Drosophila melanogaster: one gene and its partner. The protein of the gene in region 1 interacts with the protein of each later gene in a pairwise test. Each region holds a gene or a part of one and is shown in the gene's direction. Other genes may lie near its edges.

The links.
Region 2: the proteins of CG7011 (region 1) and Bap170 interact in a two-hybrid assay, tested with the Drosophila melanogaster proteins (one large-scale study listed by BioGRID).

Annotation. Positions count from the first base shown.
Region 1 is NT_037436.4:15,158,991-15,166,199, reverse strand, and holds CG7011 (uncharacterized protein), read left to right. Parts: upstream 1-2,571; 5' UTR 2,572-2,704; coding exon 2,705-2,792; intron 2,793-2,861; coding exon 2,862-3,213; intron 3,214-3,362; coding exon 3,363-3,700; intron 3,701-3,729; exon of another isoform or gene 3,730-3,834; coding exon of another isoform or gene 3,835-3,943; intron 3,944-4,066; coding exon of another isoform or gene 4,067-4,197; exon of another isoform or gene 4,198-4,383; intron 4,384-4,827; coding exon 4,828-5,035; intron 5,036-5,061; exon of another isoform or gene 5,062-5,100; coding exon 5,101-5,236; 3' UTR 5,237-5,324; downstream 5,325-7,209. Other genes in the region: CG6878 (uncharacterized protein), read right to left, coding at 3,835-3,943, 4,067-4,197; Prp31 (Pre-mRNA processing factor 31), read right to left, coding at 5,348-5,683, 5,743-6,361, 6,424-6,875, 6,932-7,030.
Region 2 is NT_033778.4:6,633,647-6,643,547, forward strand, and holds Bap170 (brahma associated protein 170kD), read left to right. Parts: upstream 1-2,865; 5' UTR 2,866-3,042; coding exon 3,043-3,284; intron 3,285-3,348; coding exon 3,349-4,364; intron 4,365-4,534; coding exon 4,535-7,341; intron 7,342-7,638; coding exon 7,639-8,640; 3' UTR 8,641-8,712; downstream 8,713-9,901. Other genes in the region: Trap1, read right to left, coding at 128-302, 365-2,132, 2,209-2,341; Fmo-2 (Flavin-containing monooxygenase 2), read right to left, coding at 9,058-9,237, 9,357-9,895.

The DNA of each region.
Region 1 (7,209 bases):
TTTGAAATCTACACGGAGGGAAAATTGCGCCCTTTTAGTTTGATTTAGTATGAGCTAATTAAATTTTCACTTGCATTTCAAAATATAGTTTACAATAAATCTTAAAGCGTCTTATAATTGTTTATTTCATTTAGTTTTTTAATTTACTTCAAAATGTGATAGTGCTATCTATTTATACTATAGATACGTAAGTAAGTACAAAAAGCAAGTTCCTCTTGAATATTATTATGAATAATAGCACTTCCTTGACTATGGGAAGGAAAAAGTGAATTTGAGTTAGCGTGTCAGTAGATTAATATGTACCTAATTGTGTATCTATGTGCCTTGCATTTAAATTTAAATAATGAAGATGGTTTTTTCGCAGTGCGTATTCGAAATCGGAATCAGAGCCTGGGTTGGTGGCCAGGGCATTAAAGTGTCAATATCCATTAGGCAGTCCTGATTGTTTAAGCTGCTTTACGCCAACTTCTCTTCTGGCTTTCTTTACCCATTCTCCGGCTCCGGGTTCCAAGTTTCTTGACACGCTCTCTTCTCGCTCTTTTTTTTTAGCCCGGTTCTTTTGTCTCCGGAGTCTTTTATTGCCGGCAAAGCCGTAGCACAATGACTCCTTCTCCGCTATTTGTTCTGGCTGATGTTGGGCTCATTGTTTCAAATAAGAAATGACGCGAATTGGCTAGAGCGAAATGGTTAGAAATGCAAATTAGCGGGAGATAAGAGTGGGCGTGGTCGAGGGAAATGGCCATGGCAGAAAACCCGAATGCCCTGTGGCCATAAGTTGCGCAAATATAAGAGGATATACTAGGAAAAAGGGCTATGAACTTGTCAGTCGGCGAAGCCAAGGGATAAATATTTTTGAGACATTTTCAAATCCAATTTAAAAGTGACCCATAAAAGGACTAAGAACTTTGTGGCAATTTTTTAGAAAGGATAGATTCAAAAATTGAGTTTATATCTCGAAGTATATGTCACTTTTAAATTTTGCTTAAGGCCTAAATAAAAAAAACTTTATTTGAAAATGTGTAAGGTCAAAGTCAAGCTGTTATATATTAAAAATCCATGGTATCATTGTTTATTATTTATACATACATATTACATATTACATATTCACATATTTACATATTTACATATTTATACATACAGTTACACATTGTTAAAACTGACACTTCCACTTTTTTATGAACTTTCCCAGATCCAAAGCGTGATGCTCTATTCCATACCCTTTCCAATCCATTTACTTTAATTTAGAAAGTAAAAAAAGTGTAAAATTACCGCTGGCTAATCTTTGTCATCTGCTGCCTTGCCTGATTTTACAGATTTCTTGTCCAGGTAATTGCAAAAAAAAAGTGAAGTCGGCGAAAGAAATGACAAAGGAAACTGTAGAGTGGCCAGGAAAATGAGAAAGCATCGGGAACTTGAGCTTAATTGGTAATTACACAAAGTCGCGGTATGTTCTACACCTACATACAATTATTTGTGACCCTACATGGATGCTGGGTTCATGGACCTTCAATCAGTCGGGCGAAAAGCCATTTGGTGATTTATATTTAGGCGAAAACTTTTAACTTTAACCAAAATCCCCGGGGATAAACCACGGTCTTCTATTAGTCCGCTTCTTTGAAAGGGGTTTGTGGGGTGTGGGGGTTGCAACCCCTAAAAGCTAAGCATTAGCTGCGCGGGCTGTCGAAACTTGTGGTTCCTTTCAATTAACCTTTCATCTGTTTAACATGTATTATAAAATTAGACGCGGTCTCCTGGACCACAGCAGCAGCAGTGGGTTAAGGCGTCTGAGTGGGGGGGTGGTGTTATTGCCGATGGTGGGCAATGGCGGCCTAATGTATGCACAACCACAACCCCAAGACATGACAACACTATTAAACATTATTCGTGGCCATGGGAAAGGACGGCCAAGCGGAGGTCCTAATTGTCGCCGGGCCAACGCGGCGTATGCGCAATCAATGGGGTAAAGCTCCGGCTAATGAAGGATGAAATCAAAAAATCGCCTAAGTAAAAGTTAAAGCTTATATAAATGTAAGGCTTGACATTGGATTTTTTTAAATCATTGCTTATAGTCAGTGAGGGTATTTTGTATTCGTTAATAAACAGTAAATGTAAAGTGTGTATCAAAATCAATACCACCAGACGAATCAAATTTTGGGAACTATAAGAGCTAAATTTTAACATTAAATAATCATGCAGTTTCAGCAAAACTTTGCTTAAAATAAAAACATTTTTATAACCTTTATAATTTTAAATTGTATTTTTTTGAAATGTAATAATTGGCATGCATGTTGCTATTGTAATGCAATGTAAGATCTAATCATAAGTTTCTATGTTAATAAGATAAGCACTTAAATAAGCGTTTTATATTGTGTCAATGGCATTTACCTCTTATAAACGGATAAAATAGTTTTAAGATTTCTTGATGTGGCCCATTTATTTTTAAAACTGCATACTTATCTACAATTACTGCATCTCGCCCGATTTTTAACATGTAAAATGCGACATGTAAAGTAAGAGCTGGCATGTAGATACGGATACGATAACAGTCAATCGAACCGAACCACAGCGAACATCTGTTTGGCCGTACCATTGCGGCGTACTGGCAACGCCAATTTCAACACGTCACCTGTCTTGTGCAAAAACGATGTAATATTTATTGTTTACGTCTGCATTTCGTCTGTTTTGTTCCTTTTACGTGTTCACGATGAAGTTCGCCGACGTGCTGCGTCGCCTGGACGCCTATCCCCGCACACTGGATGACTTCAGCGTTCGCACAGTGGGCGGCGCCGCAGGTGGGTGCAGGTGTACAATTGATTGTGGCGTTAAGGAACCCAAACAACCGGCTTTTCTCTGATTTTCAGTTACAATTATCAGTACCAGCATCATAAGCCTACTGATCTTCCTCGAGGTCCTCAACTACATGCAGCCAACCCTAAATGAAGAGCTCTTCGTGGACACCACTCGTGATCACAAGTTGAGAATAAATCTGGACGTGACACTGCATAATCTGGCGTGCAACTACATCTCATTGGACGCAATGGATTCATCTGGCGACACACACTTGAGGGTGGACCACGACGTCTTTAAGCACCGGCTGGATCTCAATGGCGAGCCCCTCAAGGAGACGCCCATCAAGGAAATCGTTGCAGTTTCGCCGCCCAATAAGAATGTCACTTGCGGCAGTTGTTACGGAGCGGAGCACAATGCTACTCAGTAAGATAGTGAACAGCTTCTAAGTTCAACCATTAGTTCCACCTATTTTCGCTGACAAGATTTATCTAAGGAGATATCTGTATCTAGAGCTAATTATAGCAATGGCTTTCTAATCTCCCCCTTTTAATACCAACTACCATCCTATCTAGCTGCTGCAACACGTGCGAGGATGTTCTCGACGCCTACCGGCTGCGCAAATGGACCGTGGCCGTGGACAAGATCGAGCAATGTAAGGGCAAGTACAAACGCAGCGACGAGGACGCCTTCAAGGAGGGCTGTCGCATCCAGGGTCACCTGGAAGTGAATCGAATGGCCGGCAGCTTTCACTTTGCGCCCGGCAAGAGCTTCTCCATCCGCCAGTTCCACATCCATGACTTTCAGTTCAGCAATGTGAAGCTATCGCACACAATCAATCACCTATCGTTCGGCGAGAAGATAGAGTTCGCCAAGACGCATCCCTTGGATGGACTACGAGTCGACGTGGCTGGTGAGTAGTGAACACAAACACGGACTCGTAATTCTGTAACATCTCTATTGCAATAACTTAGCGTAATTTAAACAAGATTGGAGTAGGGCTTAAGGTTGTGGTTGTTTAGTAACTCTAGTCAAATGCCAGCAGGATCAGCAGCGAATCCCCGTGCCGATGGCCATAAAGGTGCCAAAGGTTCCGCCGCCCTGGACCATGGTCTTGCCCACGTTGTTGATCAGCTCCCGCCCGCGTAGTCCGTATCTAAAGTGTATTTCAATGTGGTTCGTTAGTTAGCCGGAGTAATTACATAATTGCCGGCCTCCACTTGCGTCACTTCTTTGGAGGAGCGCTAAGTGGAGCATCCGAGTGCAAAGTCCAACTAACCTGAGCGCCGAGAACCCGCCAAAGACCGCACCGCTGGCCATGCCCACGCAGAATCCGATGATGAAGCCCGTCTTCATCTTATCGAAGCACGTTGGTCCCTGCTGGGAAAATGAGCTCGTAGGCAGAGGCATGCCGCTAAGTCCGTGGTTTTCCTGGTTCACCGGCTCTATATGAGTTGATACCGCTGAGTAGCAAGCTCCGCTGCTCCGACGCACTTATGAATCTCGCAGAAGGTTCGTTTATTTTAGGAATATTCAAAATATTTCTATTTATTTCGGCACCGACTAGTCGAATAATTCGTAAACGTGTGAGTGTGAGCAGCTGAGTGATGGTGTGCGTGAGCTGTCAAATTATAGAAGGGTTGCCACTTTGTTTTTCGCTCGGCTTGCCTCGTTCTAGAGAAAGCCGATAGGGGGCGGTAGCTAAAAAGCGGGTGCTTTAAAATCAATTTATATTCTTTATTTATTAATATTATTAAAAAGCATACTTAAGACTGAAATAAAAAAAAACTAAGTTATTTAAGCACAGGCATCCATTTTAATTTATATTTTACTCCTCGAAGAATTTCTGGGAAACTTCGGAGGTCTGTTGTGTGGGGCATTTTCATTTTTTAAATTGGAAAAAATATACTCATTTGTTCGAATTGTGAAATACCTGTTTTTAGAAGCATGAAGTTTAATTCGTAATTACCTTACCAAATTAAATACATTTATCAACGACAAATGAAGTAAACTAGAAAATCTGCTCTCCTCTTTTTGCAGAAACCAAAAGTGAAATGTTCAATTACTATTTAAAAATTGTTCCCACATTATATATGCGAGGAAACAGCGACGGCGAGCCCATATACACGAATCAATTCTCCGTCACGCGATACCGAAAAGATCTTTCAGATCGCGAGCGCGGAATGCCGGGGATATTCTTCAGCTACGAGCTCTCGCCACTGATGGTGAAATATGCGGAGAGACACAGGTCAGTAAGCCACAAAGCTAATGGTTAATTTTACAAGTTTTATTGGTTGTGTTGTGTATTCCCAGCTCATTTGGCCACTTCGCCACGAATTGCTGTTCCATCATCGGAGGCGTGTTCACGGTGGCCGGCATTCTCGCCGTGCTGCTGAACAACTCGTGGGAGGCCATTCAACGGAAACTGGAAGTCGGCAAGCTCAGCTAACAACAATTCGAATCTCTTATGCAGCTTTACTACGCCTAACTCAATATACATTCGACAAATCTCCAAATAAAAGTGCTTAATTTTATAGAAAATAAGGATAGAGCTGTTCTCTTAAGTGGTCCGCTGTCCCACTGACATGAATCCGGATGTGTTTGAAAAGTATTTGGCATTGGCCTCCGTCTGCGAACGCTCCGCCGCCTGCGGATTCACAATCTCTAGACCTTGCAGTGGCGTAAAGGCCACACTGGATGCCGTTCCGGAGATTTGGCGTTTGACCGTGGTGTTGCCGCCGTACACCTGCTGTTTCTGCAGATTCTTGTGCAACGTTTTGCTAATGCGCACCTTGGTCTTCTCATCCACCTGGGGCAATCGGATGCGGCCGGTGCCAGTTTTGCCGATGGTGCCGCGTGAATAGCCCAGATCTCCTTGGTAGGCATCCTCTTCGATCTGAAAGAAAAGTTCAAAGATTAATACATAACCATTATATTTTTAAGCCAGAAACTTACGTCTCCGAAATTCATGCGGTTCGCTTGCTTGCGGAACTCTGTCAGCGCATATCGTTCCTTCATCTTGCGCACGCGTTTGCCTCCTCGCTTCTTCTTGCTTCCCTCGATGGGTTTGGGCAGCGGCTTTATGAACTTCACCGGCGGCGGCTCCTGCAGCTTGTCCAGCTTCTTTTCCACATCCTCCTTGAAGCGCAGTCCAATCTCCCCGTGGACACTCTCATGACAGGCATCAACACGAGCAGCCAGCACGGACTTGGCGGCCACCAAGCGAGCTGCCTTGCGTCGCAGATCTGGCGCAGTATCCTGCACAATCTGTGAGTAGTACACATAGCCAGTGTGCGGCAACATCTGCGTTTGTGAGAAGCCCGAGAGGGTTTTCTTTTGTGCACCCAACACCTGAACATTGCAGGCCGGCATTTTGGATAATTTGGAAAGGCCACCAGCAATGCCCAAGAGTTTAGCCGCCGTCGATGCTCCAACAATCATGGAAAGATTTGGGGCTATGAAGGTCATGCGACTTTCCACATACTCGTAGATCTTGGACTTGAAGTTATTCAGTTCGATGGCCATTTCGCAGGCCTCGTCGATCTTTGCCTTCTCCGCCGGTGTCAGCATGGTTCTGCGAAAGGGAATGGGATTCAGTGACATGTTATTTTGGGTTACACCGTTCAAATAACTTACCCCTGTGTGGTGGACGCCGTGACTGACACAATCATAATGGTGGCCTGCGTGAGAATAGCCTGCAGCTTCTCGTTATTTTTGACCTGGTCCAGGTCGTTGCCCAGCTCCTTGACCGCCAGCAAGTACTCGATTTCACCCACGATCAGGGAGTCCAATTCGGGGAATCGCTTCTGATACTTCTCCTTGGTGAACTTGTGCACAATGGAGATCTCGTTGTCAATGTCCACAGCTATGGCATTAGCGTCCACGATGAGGCAGTACTCTGGATCGGATTCTACGGATCCCAGCATTTCGGCTGCAGTTCTCTGGCGACTGGCATAGTGCTCGATCTGCTGCAGCGTGTTCTTCAGGCGCTCAGAGTCGCGCAGCTTGCACAGTTCCCGCACCGACTGCACGGTTACATCCACGTCCATCAGATTGGGAGCCGGCTTAGCCAGCTTCTCCGCCAGCAACTGTTTTGTGGGAGGGGAATCATTAGGTCTGATCAACATTTGCTTTGGTTCCTTACGCTCTCGTCCTCTGCACTGGCCATCTCCGAATCCTCCTCCTCCAGCTCATTGTCATTGTCTTCCTCGAGATCGGCTAAAAGCTCATCGGCTAGCGACATTTTGGCTTATTTCAAAAGTTTATTTTGCGATCTCGTGAAATTAAGTTTGTTTTGGAATTGAAGTGACCGTTGCTCAGCCGCCTTAGAATACCATGCGGTTCATTGAAAAAATACTAAGTATTAGCATGAAATATATAGGGTATTCATTTAAAGAATACCATAAGGCTATTCCACTGGAT
Region 2 (9,901 bases), on another chromosome or scaffold:
GGAATTAAAATATTTAAAACGTTTAATTATACATATTTAAAACTATTTCAACACGTTTTATGAAATTAATTATAGAAATTAATATTACATAGTCGGTATATCTACACTGTTCCTTCTACGGCGCACTCTAGTATTTCTCCAGGGCCCGCGATAGCAGAGTGTTCATGTTGGTTAGCAGCATGCGGGGATCCTCAGCCAAACCGGCGCCCACCATTGCGTTTGCAAAGAGCTGCTTGGCGATAAGTTGGGCCAGATCCTTGTCGCTCTCACGGAGCTTGTTAAGCTTCTTGATGATGGGGTGCCTAAGGTAAGGAAAAATGCAAAATAAGAAAGCAACGAAAGAAACGTGAGGAGCAGGACTCACTTTGGGTTGATCTCCAGTTCTGGTTGAAGCAGGGCAAATCGATTCTGTTCTGGCACCTGGTGACTCTGGGTGCGAATGAAGTGGCGAGCGGCAGCCATTTCCTCTACGGTGATTACACAGGGATGGGTGTCTAGACGAGTGGTGGCTTTTACTTTAATAACCTGCCCCCTGAGCTCCTCCTCCAGCCAGGGAATCAAAGTGTCGAGCTCTGAGCGCAGCAGACTGCCCTCGCCAAAGTCGGTGGTCGCTGTTGTCTCCTTGGACTCTTCGCGCATCTCCTTCTCCACGGAAACGAGTTTTTTGCTTTTGAACTTGCCCAGCTGCATGAGCACCAGCTCATCATAGGGTTCGTAGCAGAAGAGCACCAGCTCGTTGCGCTTCTTCAGACTCTCGTAGTAGGGCGAGGACTCGGCAAGAACGCGGTTGGGTGCTGCCAAGTAGTAAATATTCTGCTGTTCTGCGGGAACGGCGTTGTAGTACTCCTCCAGCGACATGCGCCCACTGGCGGTCTCCGACTTGGAGGATTCAAAACGCAGAAGTTTAGCTATTTCTTCTTTCTCGGAGGCGTCGCTGGAGGTTACAATTCCTTCCTTCAGGAAAAGCCCATAGTCCCGGTAGAAGGCCTCGTACTCTTCTGGCTGCTTCTTGGACCGCTCTTGCAGGAAACGGATAACGCGGGTGGAAATCACACTGGACAGTTTGCGAATCAGGCTGCTGTTCTGGAGCAGCTCGCGACTCAGGTTGAGTGGAATGTCCTCAGAGTCGACAACACCCTTTACAAAACGCAGCCACTTGGGCAGCAGATGCTCAGTCTTGGACTGAATAAGCACCTTGCGGGTGTAAAGAGCCACACCGGTGTTTCCGTCCCGAGACATCTCGAATAAACCAGGCTTTCCTTCGGGGAAGTAGAGCAGTGCATGGATGCTCAAGGGTACGTCAGCATTATAGTGTAAGGTGAAGCGCGGGACATCGAAGCTATTGCTAATGAACCGATAGAAGTCATGGTGCTGCTCCTTGCTGATGCTTTGTGGCTCAAGAAGCCACAGAGGCTTGATCTCATTGGCCTGCTTTCCGTTAAGCAAGATGGGTGAGCCCACAAAGTTGCTGTATTTCTTGATTACCGCCTTGATCCTCTCCTCGTCCGCATATTCACGGCAATCGGTCTTTAAATGAAGCACGATTCGCGTTCCCAACTCAACGTCAGGCACCTCTTCGATCTCGTAGGTTCCACTGCCATCCGTGGACCAACGCAGTCCGGGTGCATTAGGCACAGCCGCCCTCGTGAACACCTCCACCTTATTGGCGACAATGAAGGAAGAGTAAAAGCCCACGCCGAACTGACCAATAATGTTCGAGGATGCCTCCGAGCTGGCTCCCTGCTGGGTCCCCTTCATCTGCTCCAGGAACTTCTTCGAGCCGCTGCGTGCAATGGTGCCCAGGTTGCTGACCAGCTCCTCCTTGGTCATGCCGATGCCCGTGTCCTGGATGATTAGCTGCATCAGTGGCTTGTCGGTGGTGATACGAATCTCCAGAGGCCGGTCCTTTCCAGCCAGATTCTCGCCTCCAGCGCTCAACGAGGTGTACCGAAATTTCTCCAGCGCATCGCTTGCATTCGAAATAAGCTCGCGCACAAAGACCTCGTGGTCGGAGTATAAGGAACGAGCCACAATGTCAAGTAGCTGGCGCGTCTCTGCCTGGAACTCATGCTTGTCCACCACTGATCCTGATGCCTGCTTGGTCTCCGTGGAGTAGCGACGGAGCGAGAGAGCTGCAAGTGAAAAGATGAGTGTTATGTAAACATAAGAATCCCTCCGGGGAGCCGGTTGCTTATATTCAGTGCTTACCACCCGGCGAATGCTGCGATCCAATGGTGATATTGAACGCTGCTGGGGCGGATCGGTGACTCTGCCTCAACACTTGGGCACAGCGACCGAGGCGGCACGCCTGGCCCAGCACTCCCATCGCTCGTACAGACATCTTGTTGTTTTAATGTTTTGCCCAACTTTAATGTTACCCAACTACGAAGTTTGTTCCAGCGCACATGTGTGCACAGTGTAGCCAAATCAATCGATTGTAAGTATTCGATAATAGTAAACTGGTAAAACCCTACTCATAACGGTGTTTTCTTCCAAATTTCTGGGCTGTAATGAATTTTGGACTCAAATGCTTAGTTGGTTTGAATAAGAGTTACTACATGTAATGGAGAGTTCAGTTTCATCACATTATTCAGCTCAAAACTGAAGCAAACTGCCAGCTGACTAGTTCTCTAAAGATTTCGATCAGCAAGAGAGAGAGAGAGAGATAGAGATGTTTCAACTGTGAACAACAAACCGTAAATTCTGAAGGAATTAAGAACAGATTACGTTTCATTGTTTAGCCAATGTAGATTGGATGCTGATTTTTGAGTTATGAAATAACAAATGTCTTCAAAGAAGACAGTAAATAAAAGAAAGTTAAATCAAATCCAATATTGAAAGACATCGATACCTCATATCGATATACGGTCCAATTGCTGACAGCCCTGCTCGTGAATGCAACTCTGCTGTAGCGCGTCAGCGTCGCGTTGTAATTTTTGTTGAGTTTTTTAAATAATTTTAATTAGCATCTGCGTGTCTTACTATTAGAATATCATGTGTTAAGTGTTTCCCATTCACGCCACCACACAAAAAGATCCAATCATGAGCGCCACCACCATCGACAACGTACGGGTGCTGCTTCAGTCGCTGCCTGCTGCCGCCGTAAACAGCGCCACTCAGCCGGGCGATCTACAGACGCCGGGCAAGATTGCGGCCCCAGCGACTCCCCTTCGCGCCAAGAATCCCGCCCAATTACAGATCATGCCGGAGAAGGTCGAGGAGATGCCGCCGTCACCTCCGGAGGAGTTCTGGAGGGACCTGCAGCAGTTTCACGAACGACGCGGGTGAGTTGCCGCGGCTCTCCTGTATTTGGAGACGACCTAACCCACTTTCCCTCTGCCCAAACAGCACTCCATTGACACAGCCCGCCAGGATCAGCGGTAAGCATGTCGACCTGTACAAGCTGTACAACGAGGTAACCGAACGAGGCGGCTTTAATAAGGTGACCATGCGGGACGAGTGGGACGAGGTGTACAGCGCCATGGAGACATTGCGGGAGCGCTGCGTTAACGGAACGGCTAGTATCAAGCACATCTACAGACGCTACCTGGACAAGTACGAACGGTTGAACTTCTTTGGCGAGGATCCAGACAAGATGGAGGCTCTGGAGGCGGCTATTGAGATTGTAGAAATGGGCGGTGGACGCTCGCGATCTCGTTTTTTGGCTGGCGCCGGTGGTGGCCTAGGAAGCATTTTTGGATCAGCACACTCTACGTTGCCGGCGGTGCCAATGGCCTACAACCAGCGCCAGCACTCTGTTAATGTGGAACGACGCCGACAGTACAAGATGTCCACGCAGTTGCACCGACACAGCAGCTACGAGAAGCTGCTGTTGTCTCTGCTTTCTCCGCTGCCCAATGAGCAGGACTTCGCCATAAACGTGTGCACACTTATGGCCAACGAGGCGCGCCACACCCTACAGCTGTCCGAGTGCCCCAAACTGCTTGATGTGCTGCTTGCTCACCTGGGAGTCTACGCTGACTTCACCATGCGCCAGCTGTTCCAGCACAGTTACACCGAGGTTCGACACCATTCGCAGCTCAGTTTCTGGCGCGACCTGCTACACGACAAGCCACAGGTCCTAGAGCTCTACACGGATGAGCAGGCCTGGCTGGACAACGGTCTGATAAGTAAGGAGGACGGTGAGAACTCTGCCGCTCGAAGTGAACTGCTGGCGGCCTGCGACGAGTTGCACTTCCTTAATCTGCGCCGGAGCAACGGGACTGATGAGCGCATGGGCCAGCGAGTGCTTCAGATTGTCCAGCTAGTCCGTACACTCAGCTTTCATCAGGAGAATCATGCACTCTTGGCCTCCAACCGCACGTTGTGGCGATATTTGGTCATGGGAGCAAACGTACGATGGAGTAAGTTTTTTTTATCTGCTTAGAAATTATATTTTTTGGCGCTTTGAATGTACGAAGTATCAAGGTGCTATCATAAATACACTGCAAGGAAATTGACTATTGCGTAGCATAGCAATCCCGAAAGAATCAATTTAAAATAAAATAACTGAAACACGTTTCGCTCGTTCTAGGCAACATTCACATCCAGGCCCTCGAGACCGCTGGCAACCTGGCTCAACAATTTGAGCTGCTAGACCCCACCACTGACGAGCTATCGCGGAATCTTTTAGCTACTCTCTGCGAGGGTATTGACTCTAACGACCGCGCGGTGATCATGAGCTGTCTGGAGATACTCTATAAGTTGTGCGGACGAGAAGGCAATTCGCAGCACATCAATCGTTGCCTTGGCCTGGACTTTTACCAGCGAGCCATGTTGCTCCTCTCGCTTACCGACGTCATGATGATTATCTTTACGCTGGAGGCAGTTTACGCACTAAGTGCTCTTGGCGCTCGGCCATGTTCGATGCTGATGCAAGTACGTGGCCTAATAGACCAGCTGGTGACCCTTATCACAGTGGAGGCTCAGTCATATGGCACAGGCGGTTGCATATTAATGCGTGTCGTAGAGGTTTTCCCCGGAAACATGGCTGCCTCGCTGGCTCAGAACATGCCCGCCATTCTTGCTCCAGGTCCCACTTCCCTGACTACACTTCCAACATCGCTGCAAGTAGCTGTTAAACCGCCAGCAGTTTTACCCACGCCTACACCCGCCCAGACGCAAGTGCTGCCTCACGGAGAGCAAACACCCTTGGTTACAGCTCTCCCCGGTCTGCCAATGCCCAGTCTGCCACAGGTTCAATTGCCTGTACCCAGTCTGCCGCAGGTACAATTGCCACCAATCGCTGCCACCGTGACCCTTCCCAGTCTGCCCTCCGCCTCCCAGAGTTTTACACACGAGGACGAACAGTATGCGCTGGCTTGGCTGGGAGCCACGTATGAACGGGCTGGGAACGGTAACGATCTCCGTGTGGAACAAGCGGAACTATACAGAATATATTTATCGCATTGCCAGAAGGCGGGTAAGCTTTCAGTGGTTAATCACATGCAGTTTCCTCGTCTAGTGCGGCTTATATTTAATCAATCGGTGGGACCAGTAATTGTACGGCACCTGGACGGAATAGAGCTACCTGGGACGTACTACGTAGGCATTAGGATGCGAGCTCAGCCGCTAGCCATGCAACAGAGACCCACCCCCAGCATTGTTCCTGTTAAAAAGGACACGCCAATATTGCCCAAGCAACCATTTAGTGATCCTGTTCAAACGGAAGTGGCGTCTGAGGAAAGCGTTTCTTCTGCAGTCACGCCACCCCCAAGCTCCTCGCTCATCAAAAGCTTGTTGGCCAACAAGGTAACTGAACGCCAACAGAAGCAGAAGGCCCAAGCTCAGACGCCGCAGCCGCCAGCCCTTGTGGCTACCACGGCATCGGGCACAAATGCTACCCAGCCCATCAAGGTAACCTCAACAGCTATAAGCGCCTTCGTGAACAACCCGCTAATGCAGCACACACCGGTGAAGGTGGGTCAGACTACCATTAAGCCGTTGCACCCCCAGATGGCCATCGAAAAGAAGCCAATCACTGATTCGGCCCCGCCACCTCTCGCTCCATTGAGTGGTGCAAACGTAGTGACGAAAGACGCCAGCGGGCGCACTCTCATCATTGCATCAGCAGCTGCCAAACGAAAATTAACCATTGACGAGGAGCAGAATAAGCGTCTGGCTTTAGATGCCGCTGCCAGCAGTTCCAGCAGCTCATCTTCTGGCGGCAAGGAAGAAGCGCAGGTGACTCCCTCGAAGAATGCAGCCAATCTCTATGCGGATCTGGCGGCATCTATTTTGGAGGATGAGGATATGGATGACGTTCCACCGCTGGCCAAACCAAGCCAGGAGCAAAGCCAGCAGCACCCGCAACAGGCACAGCAGCTTCAACTCATTCCGGCTAAAGTGCAACCAACCCAACGTCAACTTGTTTTCCCCGGTAGCAATGTGGTTTCTCCAGCTCCGCATTCCCAACTAAAACTTGCCACCACGGCCACCATAAAGACGGATCAGGGCTTGCAAACTGTGCCAGTGATCCTGCAGCCCAAGACTGCAATGGATTCCACGCCAGCTCCGCAGACGCAATATGTTCTGGCCACCAACCAGCAAGGCCAGACGTATCTTGTGGCCCAGCAGCCGACTATTCCGACATCCACGCAGTCGGCACCACCCACTCTGCTGGTGACGCAAACACCACAACAACAAACGAAGACCATAATAATCCTGCAGCAGCCAGGAGGAGTCTCTGCGGCGAACGTGGCTGGCACTCAGAAAATGATAATGACAACGGCGCAGGGCCAGCAGGTCCTGGTTACCACCACCACAGCTCCACAACTGGCCCAACCGCGTACTTCTACCCCCCAGCAGCAAATCTTTATCGCACCCCAGCGACCAGTTCCGGCGTTGGGTGCTGGCCAAATGTCGCCTTCACTGCTGTCGCAGTTGAACCAGATCCCGGCTACTATAAAGCTTCATCAGCCCCAACCACAGCCGCAGCTCGTTTCGCCGCAATTAGCACCCCAGCAGCGATTAGTTGCCGCAAAGCCGGGCGCTTCATTGCCCATTCCTCAGCTCCAGCAACATCAGTCTATCATCCAGCAACACATAATCTCGGGCCCCTCCACTCCTACTTCCACAGTTGGCGGTACGGTTGGTGGGGAAAAGAGGCAGGTAATTCTGGGCGGAATCAAGGAGACCACGCTAATTACCCAGACGTCGGCCACACCGGCTCCCCTGCAGCAAAGCCAGCTTAACTCGCAGACGATCATCACTCAGTCACCTACCAGCACGGCTATCGTAGGAGGCGTGGCTCTTCAGCAGCAACATCACATTCGATCTGTGTTGGACCAGCAGCAGCAGCATCATCCATCCATCATCCAACAGAAGATAACCATGCCGGCAGTAAGTTGGGAACTGGGGCCGAAATTAAAGAATTATTATTTTTTTTTAAGTATATATACAAGGGTCATTGAAAAGTATGTAAACAGCTTAAAATTTGATTTCATAATATGCCCATGCCCGTTCTAAATCCCATAAATCGCATCACATTCACATTCCCCATTTTTAAATGTTTCCATCGCGTTTTCACTACTTGAGTGGCGGGTTTTACAGGATCTCTTTTCTAAATAGCCAACAGGTGTATGGTAATAAGAATTGTGCTAAGATGACTAAAACAAATATTTTAATATATTATTTTAGATTTCCGAAGCGACCAAACCGAAAATAGCACCCGTTCCAGTTTCACCAACTGTAACTCTCCTAGCAAAAAAGCCGGCGCCGCCACAACCTGCTCAAGTATCTAGCCCCAAGCCATCAGTCACCCAGGCTGTTGTGGTAACGACGTCAGGAACTAGTGATTCAACGGAAGGCGGCAAAACAGTTGTCTTAGCAACCAGCGAGGCCAAGCCAGCGGAATCAGAGGTAGTAGCACAGACGGTTGTCCCACCTGCTGTCGTAACTACAGGTCCCAGCAGCAGTTCTTTGGTTGTCAGTCAGAGCGTCTACGCTGCTTCTGGCCCGAATGCCAACCCCACGCCCTCTCCCATGCCCGTGGATGCAAATTGGTTGTACATCTGCGACTGGCGGAACTGTCCCCGCAAGAAATTCAAGTCTCTTAACGAGCTGCAGTACCACGTGTGCAGTGTCCACTGTCCAGATCACCTTGATTCTGATGCCGACATTTATTGTCAGTGGGGCAGCGGACCCAACTTCTGCGACAACAGAGCGCGCAAACGGTACTCATTGATGACGCATCTGATTGACCGGCACCTGACAACGGAGAACTTGCGCGCCAGTGTGCAACGTCGCCTGGCAACTGGGATTCACAATGTGGCGCCCACCCAGGCTCCCGTGACCATAGTGCGCAACGAGGGTCATGCCCAACGATTGGCGGGAGGCGCTACTGGTTCACCTTCGGGTCCTGCTTCAGCGGTTCCAGTCGTTGGCAGCGCCGCAATGCAAGCTATGAACCGACACACGACTGATTACACGAACGCTAAAGAGCTGATGGACGAAAATGAGGGTCCAGTCACCAAGAGCATCCGTCTGACAGCGGCGCTCATTATACGCAACCTGGTCACCTACTCGGCTACGGCCAAGAGAAGCCTGAAACGCTATGAGTCACGCTTGGCCAATGTCGCCTTTAGCAATGTGGAGGCTAGCGGAGTGCTCTCCCACATCATGTACGAATTGAGCCAGTAAGCCGATATAGCTTACCATCAATATGATTATTTAACTGACTTGTAAGAACGACACTAAAAAAATGTGAAAAGCAAACCATACCTTGTTTGTCTAAATGATTCATACCATATAGCACCAAAATATGGGAGATTCGGGAGTAAGATTTTAATTTGACTTCTACAATTCTACGAGGCTTAGAATTAAAGAGCTATGGTGGACATTATCAGATATACTCCTGGTTAGCAAATAAACGTTTTGAATTAATCGTTCAAAACATACTTTGATTTACATTGTTCTTATAAAATATTAATTAACACATCTGAGTTATAATCCGTTAAAAGAATCCGAACCGAAGAGTCCGCTAAATCTTCGTGTACTACAGTGAAACACTTTTTATCGCCTAACGTAAGATATTAGAATGGGATGAAATCAGGTTCATCATACAATAGCTTCTCCGTTCTTCAAAAAGTTTTCATCGTCCAAAATCGTATACTTGTTGCTCCTGTACGTGTCCAATTCAAAAATGTACTTCTTGCCGCAGTCCTTCATTAGCTTGTGGATAACTGGCTTGATGTTCTCGATGCCCGCGATACTGGCCAGTTCATTGTAGTAGACAAACTGAAATTACAGATAAAAGATTGTTTTATATATGTTCTCTGCTTGTAAAAGTCTTTAACAAATAAGTCTACATAAGCTAATATTTTTAATTTCTTATACAGGGTATTGTGAACACTCACCTGTCGCTCGCCCATCTGATGTGCTTTCTTCTGGTTGCGCACGCCGCAGCCCCACCGCTCTCCGATCTCCTGCTCCAGATCGGCAATCATCTGCTCCCGGGAGGGAAACTTCCGCTGACCTGTGAAGAACTTCAGCGTGAAGCGCACCTGCATGTCGAAGATGTGGGTGGGAATCACGTTGAAGGGCAGGCCCACAAAGGCCATGGTCGGGTGGTTGATGTTGATGCAGTGCTTCCACAGTGGCTGCACGAAGTTGTCTATCACCTGGACACCCACATCGGTGCTGAGGCAGGGGAATGTGTACTTGTAGCCGGTGCAGAACATCACGTGGTCAAAGCTCTCCGTGCTGCCGTCCGTGAAGACGGCTCCATCCTTTGTGAAGCGTTTCACATCCGGCTTCTGCGTTACGTTGCCCATGAATGCTGTGTTAGGGGTCGTGGAAAGGTGGTGGCTTAGGAAGACCTGCTTGGCAGCCAAGCGAACATGGTTGGTGATGTCCATGCCACTGGGGCCGGCGCCAATGATCAGCACACGCGCGTCTGTAA